Tribolium castaneum: one gene and its partners. The protein of the gene in region 3 interacts with the protein of the main gene of each other region in a biochemical or structural test. Links are inferred from orthologs where the notes say so. Each region holds a gene or a part of one and is shown on either strand. Other genes may lie near its edges.

The links.
Region 1: of the proteins of hpo (region 3) and inhibitor of apoptosis 1, one has a biochemical effect on the other in vitro, tested with the Drosophila melanogaster proteins (2 studies listed by BioGRID). The link is inferred for Tribolium castaneum from reciprocal best matches to the Drosophila melanogaster genes hpo and Diap1.
Region 2: the proteins of hpo (region 3) and sav form a complex in vitro, tested with the Drosophila melanogaster proteins (3 studies listed by BioGRID, with this or other methods). The link is inferred for Tribolium castaneum from reciprocal best matches to the Drosophila melanogaster genes hpo and sav.

Annotation. Positions count from the first base shown.
Region 1 is NC_087397.1:2,699,929-2,704,127, forward strand, and holds inhibitor of apoptosis 1, read right to left. Parts: upstream 2,874-4,199; 5' UTR 2,859-2,873; coding exon 2,854-2,858; intron 2,776-2,853; coding exon 2,424-2,775; intron 2,259-2,423; exon of another isoform or gene 2,103-2,258; coding exon of another isoform or gene 2,064-2,102; intron 1,994-2,063; coding exon 971-1,993; 3' UTR 631-970; downstream 1-630. UniProt on the Drosophila melanogaster protein: Anti-apoptotic protein which functions as a caspase regulator, using its E3 ubiquitin-protein ligase activity to smother caspase activity. Binds, ubiquitinates and inactivates initiator caspase Dronc, and effector caspases Drice and Dcp-1.
Region 2 is NC_087396.1:21,519,327-21,523,206, reverse strand, and holds sav (protein salvador homolog 1), read right to left. Parts: upstream 2,482-3,880; 5' UTR 2,437-2,481; coding exon 2,346-2,436; intron 2,294-2,345; coding exon 1,974-2,293; intron 1,922-1,973; coding exon 1,681-1,921; intron 1,537-1,680; coding exon 1,356-1,536; intron 1,308-1,355; coding exon 1,126-1,307; intron 1,058-1,125; coding exon 858-1,057; 3' UTR 816-857; coding exon of another isoform or gene 691-815; 3' UTR 654-690; downstream 1-653. Other genes in the region: uncharacterized protein LOC659596, read left to right, coding at 423-639, 691-815; solute carrier family 25 member 45, read left to right, coding at 2,534-2,582, 3,459-3,880. UniProt on the Drosophila melanogaster protein: Plays a key role in the Hippo/SWH (Sav/Wts/Hpo) signaling pathway, a signaling pathway that plays a pivotal role in organ size control and tumor suppression by restricting proliferation and promoting apoptosis.
Region 3 is NC_087403.1:7,367,165-7,370,209, reverse strand, and holds the end of hpo (serine/threonine-protein kinase 3), read left to right. Parts: intron 1-1,529; exon of another isoform or gene 1,530-1,566; coding exon of another isoform or gene 1,567-1,580; coding exon 1,581-1,660; intron 1,661-1,713; coding exon 1,714-1,890; intron 1,891-1,945; coding exon 1,946-2,104; 3' UTR 2,105-2,525; downstream 2,526-3,045. UniProt on the Drosophila melanogaster protein: Plays a key role in the Hippo/SWH (Sav/Wts/Hpo) signaling pathway, a signaling pathway that plays a pivotal role in organ size control and tumor suppression by restricting proliferation and promoting apoptosis.

The DNA of each region.
Region 1 (4,199 bases), on a different chromosome or scaffold from region 3:
TAAATTCTGTTCGCTTAAAACTTTTAAATGAGTTGGAAATAATTCCAGGTAAGAGGTCAGCAAAGCCGCAAACATCTTGACCTTAAGAGTTGGGATCAGAGATAGATTTACATTGTCTGATTTGTTGCAATAAAATATTTGGCCAATTTTTTGGAAAAATTGCTAGTTAATTGCTTCGTCATTTCTGAGTCATAATAGATTACTGGAACAATTAAAAATTAACGATTGGATTAACTGCAAGTGTGAGAAAATCGGGATTGAATAAATTGAATGAACGTGTGAATGTGGAACGGAAATGAACGACCTTTACGATCATGTGAAGGGAGCAACACTAATGAAATGCGAGGCCTGGCTGCTGGAGAAAATTAGCTATGGGAAAATGCCATTTGCATGAAATAATAAAGGAAACAACAAAAATTATCGACGGATGAAAACATTTGATTTCGTAACTTTTGTTTTTTATTTGAAAAAAAAAAGGGTGCAGGTAGAAGCTCTCGATCTATTTTTATCTTTTTTCAGAAAACACGAGCTCCATTCATGTTGAGGTTTATCATTATCAATGAGTCTTTACTTTTCGTTTCGTGGGAGCATGATTTTTTTTGAGTGCAGGATGGGTAATAAAAAAACTCGTTGTGAATTGAAAATTGTATATTCTATTCTTGTAATACAAAAACAGTGAAGTAATGTCATTGTAAACGTTATATTACTTCAGCTATTGCAGTGAGGAACTTGCTACATCAAATGAAAGTCAACTAAACCTATTTGAAGCGTATTGTTGGAAATTAAGTTAACTTATGTACAGTTAGATAACAATCAACCCTACGGTATTGATAGCTTTGTACTGAAAGAAGGGTGTTATATAAAAATAGAGTCTGTTTTTCTAATTAGTTTTATTGAAGACCAACCGATGAAAAATTGACTAGAAGTGTTTAAGAAAAGAAAAAAAGTGAATTATGTTACAATTTAGTTTTTAAGATATATACACTTTAATCTTGCTGTCGATGCCTTTTCTACAAATTGGACAATTTTGCATAACATCCGAACATTGCGTACACGCAATAATGTGTTTACACGGCATAAAAACGGTATTTCTTTCAAATCTGTCGCAAATTCTGCATAAAATCACTCCATCTTCAGACGCTGCACCACACTCACTTTTTTCCTCAGTACTTTCGTTCTCTTTGGTTACATTACTCGCCGACACACCGGCCATTTTTTTCTGAACTTGGTTAATATAACCCTGTCCTTTGGAAGCTACAAGAAACTCACACCTGGGATACCACTTTGCGTGCTCCTCCCACGGCTCGTCTTCGTCCTTCCAGTCCCTAAGCGCCCCTCCACACGAAAAACAAATAGTGTGGTCCTCCACCCCCCGGTAGTAAAACCCGGCATCAGCCAGCGTCTCCGGACTTTGCTTCGCGGAACTCGGCCAAGTCGCAAACGACTCTAACCGCGCCTTCTTGTCTTCATACGGCCGGATCATCGTCCGGAGCATCCGGAACGTCTCACTCTCCGGAACCGAGTTCGGGAACAGCTCCACATTCCCGCACACGTCCTGGCCTTGGGCCGGGACGCGCAAGTTCTGGCTCTTCTCTTTGGCAAAGGGGCAGTTTGGCGACCATCGCACGTGCTCGGACAGCGGCTCGTCGTCCTGCTCCCAACTGCAGATTTCCGCTTTGCAAAAGGCACACTTCACAAGGTCGGGCTTCGAGGGGTTGTTTAAGAAGTAGAAGCCGGCTTTGGCTAAGGCTTCGGGAGTTACAGCCGAACTTTTCCAGTCTATGAATGTGCTCAAGCGATCCGCCTCCTTAGTTAGGTCTAGTCGGGCGGAGGCGCTCAGGGCTTCGCTTTTGTGGCCGTTGTCCGGCTCGGTGACACTTGCTTTCGTCTCGGGGGGAAGCGGCTTGTAGGGCTCATAGTTGATGATATGACTGCTGTCTTTCATAGAGCGCAGAATGGTGGAGTTGCTCGAGAGTGTGTCAACCATTGCTTTCTGCAACAAAACAAACGCTCAAACAACGGCAAAAAATGGTTAGGGAAGGTGTGCTCGTAATTGTCTTTACCGTTTTTTTGCCAACTTCTTTTATTAAAATTACCAACATATGACAATTTTAAGCAGTTTTGATTTTTCCGCATATTACTGATTTTTCATAATTTGTCAACTGTGGCAAATGACACTTAAGTGCGATAATTGCAAATAAAATAATCCTTTGTATCCAGTCGACAGGAAATACCGTTTTATGTAACTCGTTACATAAAATTGACATTTCCTAACTGGTTACTTTATTTATTAACAGTTACTATCCCACGCCATCTTGAAGAGTTTCGATAATGATTTCGCTGCAATTCTCATTAAGAATCGTGGGATATGGTGATTATTGAAGGTAAAAATTAGGAAATTTCACTATTGGAATCAAAATAACCATTCTCTCGAGACTGGAAAATGTTCGAGCGTTCGCCGAGACAACTGAGCGAAACAATCGAATGTAGCACATACTAGAAAGTAGAAAGTGCGGTGCATGGGTGGCTATGCAAAAATGGGAATGGTTTTGGGAACGGTTGTCGATGGCAAAGATCGATTGCGGCGTTGCCATTCGATGTAAATTTGGCGATTGTCGGCAAGTTGGCCTTTTATGGCCGTGTTCGTCTCGGGAATTTCTTGGTATGTTATTAGTGGGGCGTTCCTGCGGAGCCGAGAAGGACAGATAGTGTCCGAGTATCGTACGGCCGTCTGAGTACACTCGCACCGAAGGGACTCCAGTGTCGGCAACATTGCTGGAATTCAGAAACCATTCACGATTTCCAGCATTCCATTCTTACCGCTCCCCGACCGCTACAAGCACCCAGCCCTACCACATTCCAGAGAGATCACATCAATGGTCGGCTGCGAGCACCGGAAAGACGAAAAAAAGTTCACACCGAGAGCGAGAGAGACGGCTGGATGGTACAGACATTCCCAGACGGCTCCATCGAGAAGGGTTTGCCCATATCGACCCGGTGCCAGGCTGGCAAAAGGGCGGAAAATCGCGCTCTAGGGCCGTTTTCGGCCAGAAATACGACTTACGTGCGATTGTTTTAACTAGGACACAAGGACGACATATGGCCACTTTCTACTCGCACCGAGGGTGCTACTACCAACCCAAAAAAAATACTGGCACTAACCTTACTCGAAGGTCCTCCCGAGCTGGAGCTTGCCTCAACTTTTCGCTTATTTATTTTGTTTTTTTTTATAAATTAAAACTCCTCAACTCAGCTCACACACAACTCGACTACTAAAAGTGCATACGCTCAAGCGTAAACTTCCACCAACGACCAACTCGAAACTGGCGAATGCCAACGCGACGGCTCGAACGTCCCCGAAGCGGCGCCCCTGTTGCCACGTCAGACCGTGAGATAGTTAGGTTTTACAAAGCGAGCCGATTTCGTAGTAACTTTGTAATTGGACAATTCAAAAGCATTACAAAAAAAACACCAAATATCTACTATGTTGTCGATAGTTTCGTAAAGCGATTGGCTTTTGTTTCCGTTACAAACGACGGGATTAGTCGCGGCCGACTTGATCTAAAAATATACGCAATAATAACAATTATCGACCATGAGATTTCCTCATGAATGAAAATTAGTGATTTGCAAATATGCGTCATAGGTTAAAAGTGCATTCGCGTGTAACCGGAATGCTTTTCAATGCCGTACAAGGAAAATCGATTACAAATACAAGCGACGACTTGCGGGAAATTTAAACGAAATTTCTACTTTCTGATATCTGATAATCCGCTTCCGAGAATGAAATAATAGAAATTATCTTCCAAAGTCCGACGCGCCTTTGTTGTCTACATTTTTTGATAATCACGCTGGCCTGGAATTTTTCGAAATTGTCACGGTTGCGTACATCAAAGGCGGCCTGGAATTTTTAAAAATTGCCACAGTTGCGTACACCGTTATCACAGGCGGCCTGGAATTTTTCAAAATTATCACAGTTGCGTACACCATATCACAGGCGGCCTGGAATTTTTCAAAATTGTCACCGTTGCGACAAAAACAAGTATTAAGCGGCTATCAACACGACACGTAAACATTCTTAATGTCATAATAATAAAAAATTGAAGCAAACAACAACTAACTCATGCATATTTTATCGTTTTTTTACCTTAAAAACATTCATGGCGTTTGACTTTGACCACTTGTGAAAAAGTAGCTGA
Region 2 (3,880 bases), on a different chromosome or scaffold from region 3:
GACCTTCGCTCAAAAAACGGTCGATGCAAAAAGTGCACAATTAGGTTAGACTTTCGGCCAAATATGGGCATGATTTTTCAATGAAACTGGGCCGCAAACTCCACCCGTTCTACTCACATTTGGGTCCGTTGCGCCGAAATTACTTATTCATAGTATTTTAATTGACTGTGACACGAAAATTTCACTTCGAATTTTGATACTTTTTAAAGGGACGCCATTTTGTTTATTTTTTCAAATCGCGGCCGGTAAAGTAGGGCCCGAAACTGCCATCTAACCTCTAATTTTATGGCAAAAACCCGGGATTATCACTAGAACGAACCGCTGGAATCGCCCAAAAAAACACTAAACGCGTCAAGAGTTCGCCCCAAACCACTCCACGACGTGTTATTTCTCGCCGATTTTGCGTGTTACATAACCCCAAAATGTCGCTCTTCAACCCCCGTTGGTTGCGTAATTTTATCAGAAGACACACGAATCAGATCCCTGAGCAGCGGGCCCACGTGTGGAAACAGCGCCTTTCCATATTCTACATGTTAACCGCGTGGAACGCCTTCGGCTTCGTCCTTTACCAGGTGTACCAAGGCAATGCAGACTGGGCCCGCAAGTACAAATCGGAGGAAGAATTGTCCCTATCCCCAGGTAAAATGAGACACTTGTTAATAAAAATAAAGCGTTTATTCGTGTCTTTAGCACAACAATGGGCTCGAACTTTAGGCATTAAGGACGCAAAAGTGATACAAGTCTCAGGCCTGCAAGTCACTAACTATGACATCCATAACGAGTTTGATGAAGCGTCTGAAGCGATACAAGAATAAATAATCACATTTCTTAGTTAATAAAATACAAAAAGGAACATTTTATTGACCAGTCACAGCCCCATTTCTACTATTCCTAAACTTCTCCATTTCGACAAGCAATGCGGACCTGTAGGTCTCGTACCGCATCACAATGTTCTGCAGTTCCTGCTTATAAAGCCGCGTCAGCATGCCGTTGTAACAGTCCAGGTCTTGCAACCGGAACATGTCCCACTTTAATTTGTGGTCCAGATCCGGACTCGCTAAAATAAACACCAAAAAAATCGGTTACACTCACAATTAACACAGCAAAAATTAATTGTGGTTTTACCATTGAAATAGACGTTAAGCCAATGGGGAATCTCCTCTAACAAGTAGGGATTTGCCGGCACCAGGACGCTGTGAGGCTGATAATGTGTCGTTCTTGGGGGGTTGAAATACCGCACCTCGGGCTGATAATTATAGCAAGGCACTAGACAAGGGTGCTCGTATTGAGCTTGTTTCGTAATGTGACTACAATTAAATTATTTGGATTTGAGTCTAACTGGGGGAAAAACCCACTTGACGTAATAAATGCCGTAAATGGGGGAATGGACACATTGCCATCCTGTGGGAAGCCCCTCGCGCTCCAGGGGGTGCGACCAATGGGTGGTTTTGGTATTGTGGTCGATGTAGTACTTACGACCACGGAGGGTGTAGTCCACGGACCAGCCGGGCGGAAGCGGAAGCTCTTCAGACTGATCTAAAAACAAGCGCCTAACTATGCAAATAATTGATTGTTAAAAATCAAACAAATTTTTAAAAATAATCAAAGCAAGAACGTCTAAGTGCCGTAATAATGATTAATTGACACAACGAGCTAGGCAACCAGTTGTACACCCAATACCTGTACTGCTTTCATTGCGCCCCAGCGAGTGTCTCAAATGGTGGGCGAGCGATTCACCATAAGTCATCCCTTGCAGAGGATTAGAGTAGCGCTCGGCCCCCGTATTGCTATAAATGGGGGTCGTGTCTTGACTCTTATGGGCCCCATCAGTGTTCTGATAAATCGGCGAACTTCTGCTATTATAATTATTATCCTGCGTAGTGAGTGGATAAATTTGATCAATTTCGACGTAATTGGCGTTCTGGAAGCGACAAATTCAATTAAAAAACCCACTTCAAGGGGGCTTGAACCACCGAATTGTCACTGTATGACGAACTGATGTGTTGGTTCATGTAAATGTGTTGTGGGGCCACTGATGAGCTTGGCGTGTAAAGGGAATTGTTTTCGTTTGTGGACAGATTGGCAAACCTGGTGGCCAAATCCGGGACTGAGGAGCTGGGTGTGTACTTCCCCTGGTGCGCCCCCAGGCCAGAGCTGATGATGGTTTTTTGGTTCCCGAATTTCTGGACGGTGATGCTGCTCTGGTTGGCCCCCCGTGTGAGGCTGGCGGGGAGCGACTGACGGCCCTGGTTCGAGAGGCGTCTTTTTGGTTCGGTTGTCCAAACGTTAATGACTGCGAAAAATTTGATGTGAGGTTAGGTCCAACTTGTCAAAAAATCGCTCACTTGGCATTTCGGGCGGGGTGTCTTTTTTCACGTATTTGCCGACCACCCCTTCCTTGATCGTTTTCAAATCTTTGTTTTTGCGCGATAGCATGGTCAGCAGGTGTGCAAATTGCGGGCTATTTTCGGCTGAAAATTGAGGGCCAGTCGATGAGGGTTTGCGACGGCGGCTGGCGGAGGCGTCTCAAGCGATGGATGGGACGTTCAAGTTCGCCGATTTCATTGCAGGATGGTTCGGAGGTACTCTATGTCTTGTCATGGGGAAAAACACTTGTAAACACTGCATTTTGGTCACAACAGAAATTCCATTGTTTACAAATTCACATCACCAGATTAGGGGCATGCGCGATGGACGTTTTAGCGACATTCCAGCGTGTATTCATTGTTGTCTACGGTTAGGGGGCCACGCGTGGCTGGGGCCCTCTTTTAGGCTGGTTTTTGTAAATGACGATTACAAAACATGCAAACTTTGGTCATTATCTCGAAAACTAGCAGTGATAAATGAAAACTGATTACATATTTGGAATCCTTAGACAAATCAAATTCCGGTCAAGTCGTTGATTTTTCCGACTACGAAAAATTATCCTAACTATAAATTACATGTCATAATTTTTTTAAGCACAGACTAACTAGTGTAGGAAATAATTTTTCATTGCATCTGAGAAAATTTCGGAAATAAACATTCACCCTGTATACGGAAAAGGTAAAAATATGTTCTCTAACGAACGCTAGTTGAAGCTAACTAGGCTAACTTTTCACACAAAACCCCAAAAAATTATAATAAAATTTCGAAATGTTGGGTCGCTTCCAAGAGGTCGGGTATTTACCCGGCGCCTCCACCATTATGTCATGAAGAATTCGTTAACTGTGAATTTGTACCATTTCGGAACTGATTAAGTTCATGAAAATTGGTACAGGCACGTAATTTCAACTGCTTTTTAAGAAATCGGGCCTCAAAAATACGAGGGGGCTCTTAATTGAATTATATTTTTTTAAATATTACGTTTATTCTGAGATGGAAATTGCATTTAAACAACTACTGAAATGTTATAGAATCAACATTACAACTGTGCCACTGTGTGGGTCATTCTGGAAATAAAAAATCCCGAATTTCAGGCATCTGTGGGGTGGTGGTGGGCCACCCCCTCGACACGATCAAAGTGCGCCAACAGAACTTCGGCACGAAGCTGTTCGTTGCCATTTCGCGCACATTCCGGCACGAGGGAATCCCCGGCTTCTTCAAAGGAATGCTATGTCCTGTACTTACCATCGGCCCCTCGAACGCCATTCTTTTCGGCGTTTACGGCAACTTAATGAACGTCTTCAACGAAAACTACGTACCTCGCCAAGTCTCGCACACCGACTTCGATGCCCTAAGACACGTTTTCATCGCCGGGACAATTGGGGGCTTCTTTCAATCGCTTTTCGTGTGTCCGGCTGAACTGGTCAAGACGCTGATGCAAATCAAGACGGAGGGCAAAGGCTCATGGAGACGCCACTCGGAGGTGGTTTACACGGGATCGATTGACGCGTTTTTC
Region 3 (3,045 bases):
TGTGTAAAAAAATATGAGCATTTATCGGTATAAACGACAAAATGTCAAAATATTTCTTAGAAATTGCTACTTCTTCTACTTCTACTTCTACTCTACTTCTACTTCTTCTACTTCGTAAATAAACGGATCGAAATAACCAAATAACAGAGTCTGACTGTAAAAAGTGTCTCTTTTTTTATCAACTGGCAATTGTAACATTAAACCAATGTAAGAGTTTTTCTGTAATTTTTAAACATGAAACGTATTTGTTAGCTATTTGCGTATTATATATCACCCATCACTAAACAAAACTAAACTTAGTTTAACTAACTTAAGAGCTTAACTTACTTAACTTAAGAGCTTTTAAAACTTACAGTCACCGCCGAATTTTGTATGACTTTGACACAGATGCTGCAAAAATGAAATAGATTTTGCCTGTACCGATAAATAAAACTGTTACTTTAATTTAATAATTGTATTAATTAACGCCCATTGAAGAATATCAGTTATTCGTGATTAACAATGACAATTGTTGACAATGACAATAACAATTAACATAATCAGCTTGCATTAATTATATAAATTAGTTAAGGTATTAAAAAAAACTGTATAAATTCGTAATAGTGTTTTAAAAATATAGTTATTAGCAATTAGCAAAGTTTTCACTGCAAAACTTGCTAAATAATAAGACTTCCACCTTGTTATCTCTCAAGATAAGCAGAAGAAAATCTAATTGAGTTATTTGATGAAAAATTAATAAATCTATCGATATAAAGTGCAAAACCTTGAAATATTTTTTGTGAATTGCCTGACTGCAATTTGCATTAAATCACTGTGACTAAATTTTTTAACCAGGTGATATCAAAGGAAATGTGGAAAATAACATTTTTAATTTAATGAGTTTCTACAAAATGTACAAGTTTCTCTGTTATTATAAAAACATTTGTGAGTCCAACTATTCTCTAAAAATGTCTTGAAAAATGTGGAAGTACTGAGAGGAAATAAAACCGAAACTTCAATAAAAACTCTTGAATGCACAAATGTTTGTGCTCAAATCGTCTTAAAAGTATTGAAATGAAAAAATTACGTCCACAGTTTGTGCAATAAATAAAGTGGAATCACGTACTTCTTTTTTATTATTCTACGCTTGAGACAAGGATAAATTAGAAACTGAATGAATTATAAAAGAATATCGATAACAGTATTGTAGAAAATAGTTGTAGAAAAACTAATACAAAATGAGTTATCATTATCAGTTATAATTTATAGAATTCCAAAAAAGCTCAGAATAAAGGTTACTTGGACAAGAAATAGTAGATTATGTATTTTTAATTTTATTTGTAAATGCAATCACACAGTAACATTGAATACAAAATTAAGCACAAACACGATATCACCAGTTAATTTAAATAATTTCAAAAATTATAATCATTTTGCGGTTAGGTCTTAAACTGACTCGTTGTATCTTTTATCTCAAACGGCTGAATGTATAAAAAAAACATTCGCAACGTGTTTAAAAATAGTCGTGTATGAGTGTTTTTCGTCGTGATTGAAATCGTGCATGTTTCTGTAATGTTGGTTGCATAGCAAAACCATTTCAGGGCATGACACGGGTTCGAGTCAAGGCGGCAAGAAATACCGGCCGTTGTTTTTGGAGCACTTTGACAAAAAGGAGGCGGAAGTAAGTAACAATTAATTAGTTATCAATTGATAAATTGTTTATTGCAAATTTAGGGTAACGGCGTCGTGACGCCTACGACGCTTGATGGTCCCGAAATCGTGCCTGACGAGCAACGTTTCCAAAGTCATTTTCATGTACAGTTAAACCAAGTGCCGTCGCCTCAACAGGCCCAACCTCAAGAACAAAAAGCACAATTTCATCGGCCTTTCTCAGATGGTGATTTTGAATTTGTGGGTATTTCATATGTGTGGTGAATTAATTGGGTTTGAGTGGTTGTTTTTTCAGTTGAAGTTTTTGAGTTTCGAGGAGTTGCAACAGAGGATGGCCAAATTAGATTTAGATATGGAGAGAGAAATAGACGAACTTCGTAGGAGGTATCAGATTAAAAGACAGCCGATTTTAGATGCAATGGATACGAAGCGGAAGCGACAACAGAATTTCTGAACTGTTGGCTCGTTGCAATGGAATATGGTGCTCAAAAAGTTAGGTTTTTTAATACTTGCCATTTAGTTTATCTTTGTTGCTTTTTGAGCCGAATATCGTGGTGAGGAAACAAGATGTGTTCCTACTTATTGTACTTAATCAGTTACGTACAGTTTTTAATATGTTATTCTCAATTTTATTTCACTAGATTAAAATGTTTTGCCATACCGGATGCACCAGTTAAACATTTTAGTTAATCATTAATTTTAATAAAATTGCCTTCACGACAAGTTTGAGCTTTTATCAGTGTTATTTTTGTACAGTCATTTTAACTCTAGGTTATAACCTGTACGATAAGTACGCTTGCTGTGCCTTTAGTAGTACCTAGGATTAAGTACGAGTGTAACCATATTTTTTGATCAAATAAAATTCATAACTAATATTTCCAATATATATTTACAATTATAAACTAATACAATAATTTCACAATAAAACAGTAGGCCAATCAAGCGGCATCTCCTTTCTCCTTACTGAAAGCTTGATTGAAATTAAGATTCGCTCCCTCATCGGCTAACATTTCGCTTGGTTGGCCCACAAATGAAAAATCAGTGTTAGTAGCCACAAGACTGATTGCGTTGAGTATTGCTTCGTGAAGTGAATTTTGCAGCTAATAACACCTGTAAACGGTCCAAAATTTCTGATTCTTAATCACAGCTGTACCAATTGGTGGTGATACAATAAGCACTTAAACACTAGAGTAAATGTGAAAGGCACTGTTACAATATGTTAGTGTAAAATATATTTTAGAAATTGTAAAACTAAGACTACAAGTAACCGTTGTCAATAAAATATATACATATACGTTACCAATTAAAGGCACAAAATGGAGGGATTAGTTCAGTGTGAGCATATTTATACGAGTTGAATCCTTCGCGATGCAACAAGTCTGGTCCTGGGAGGAG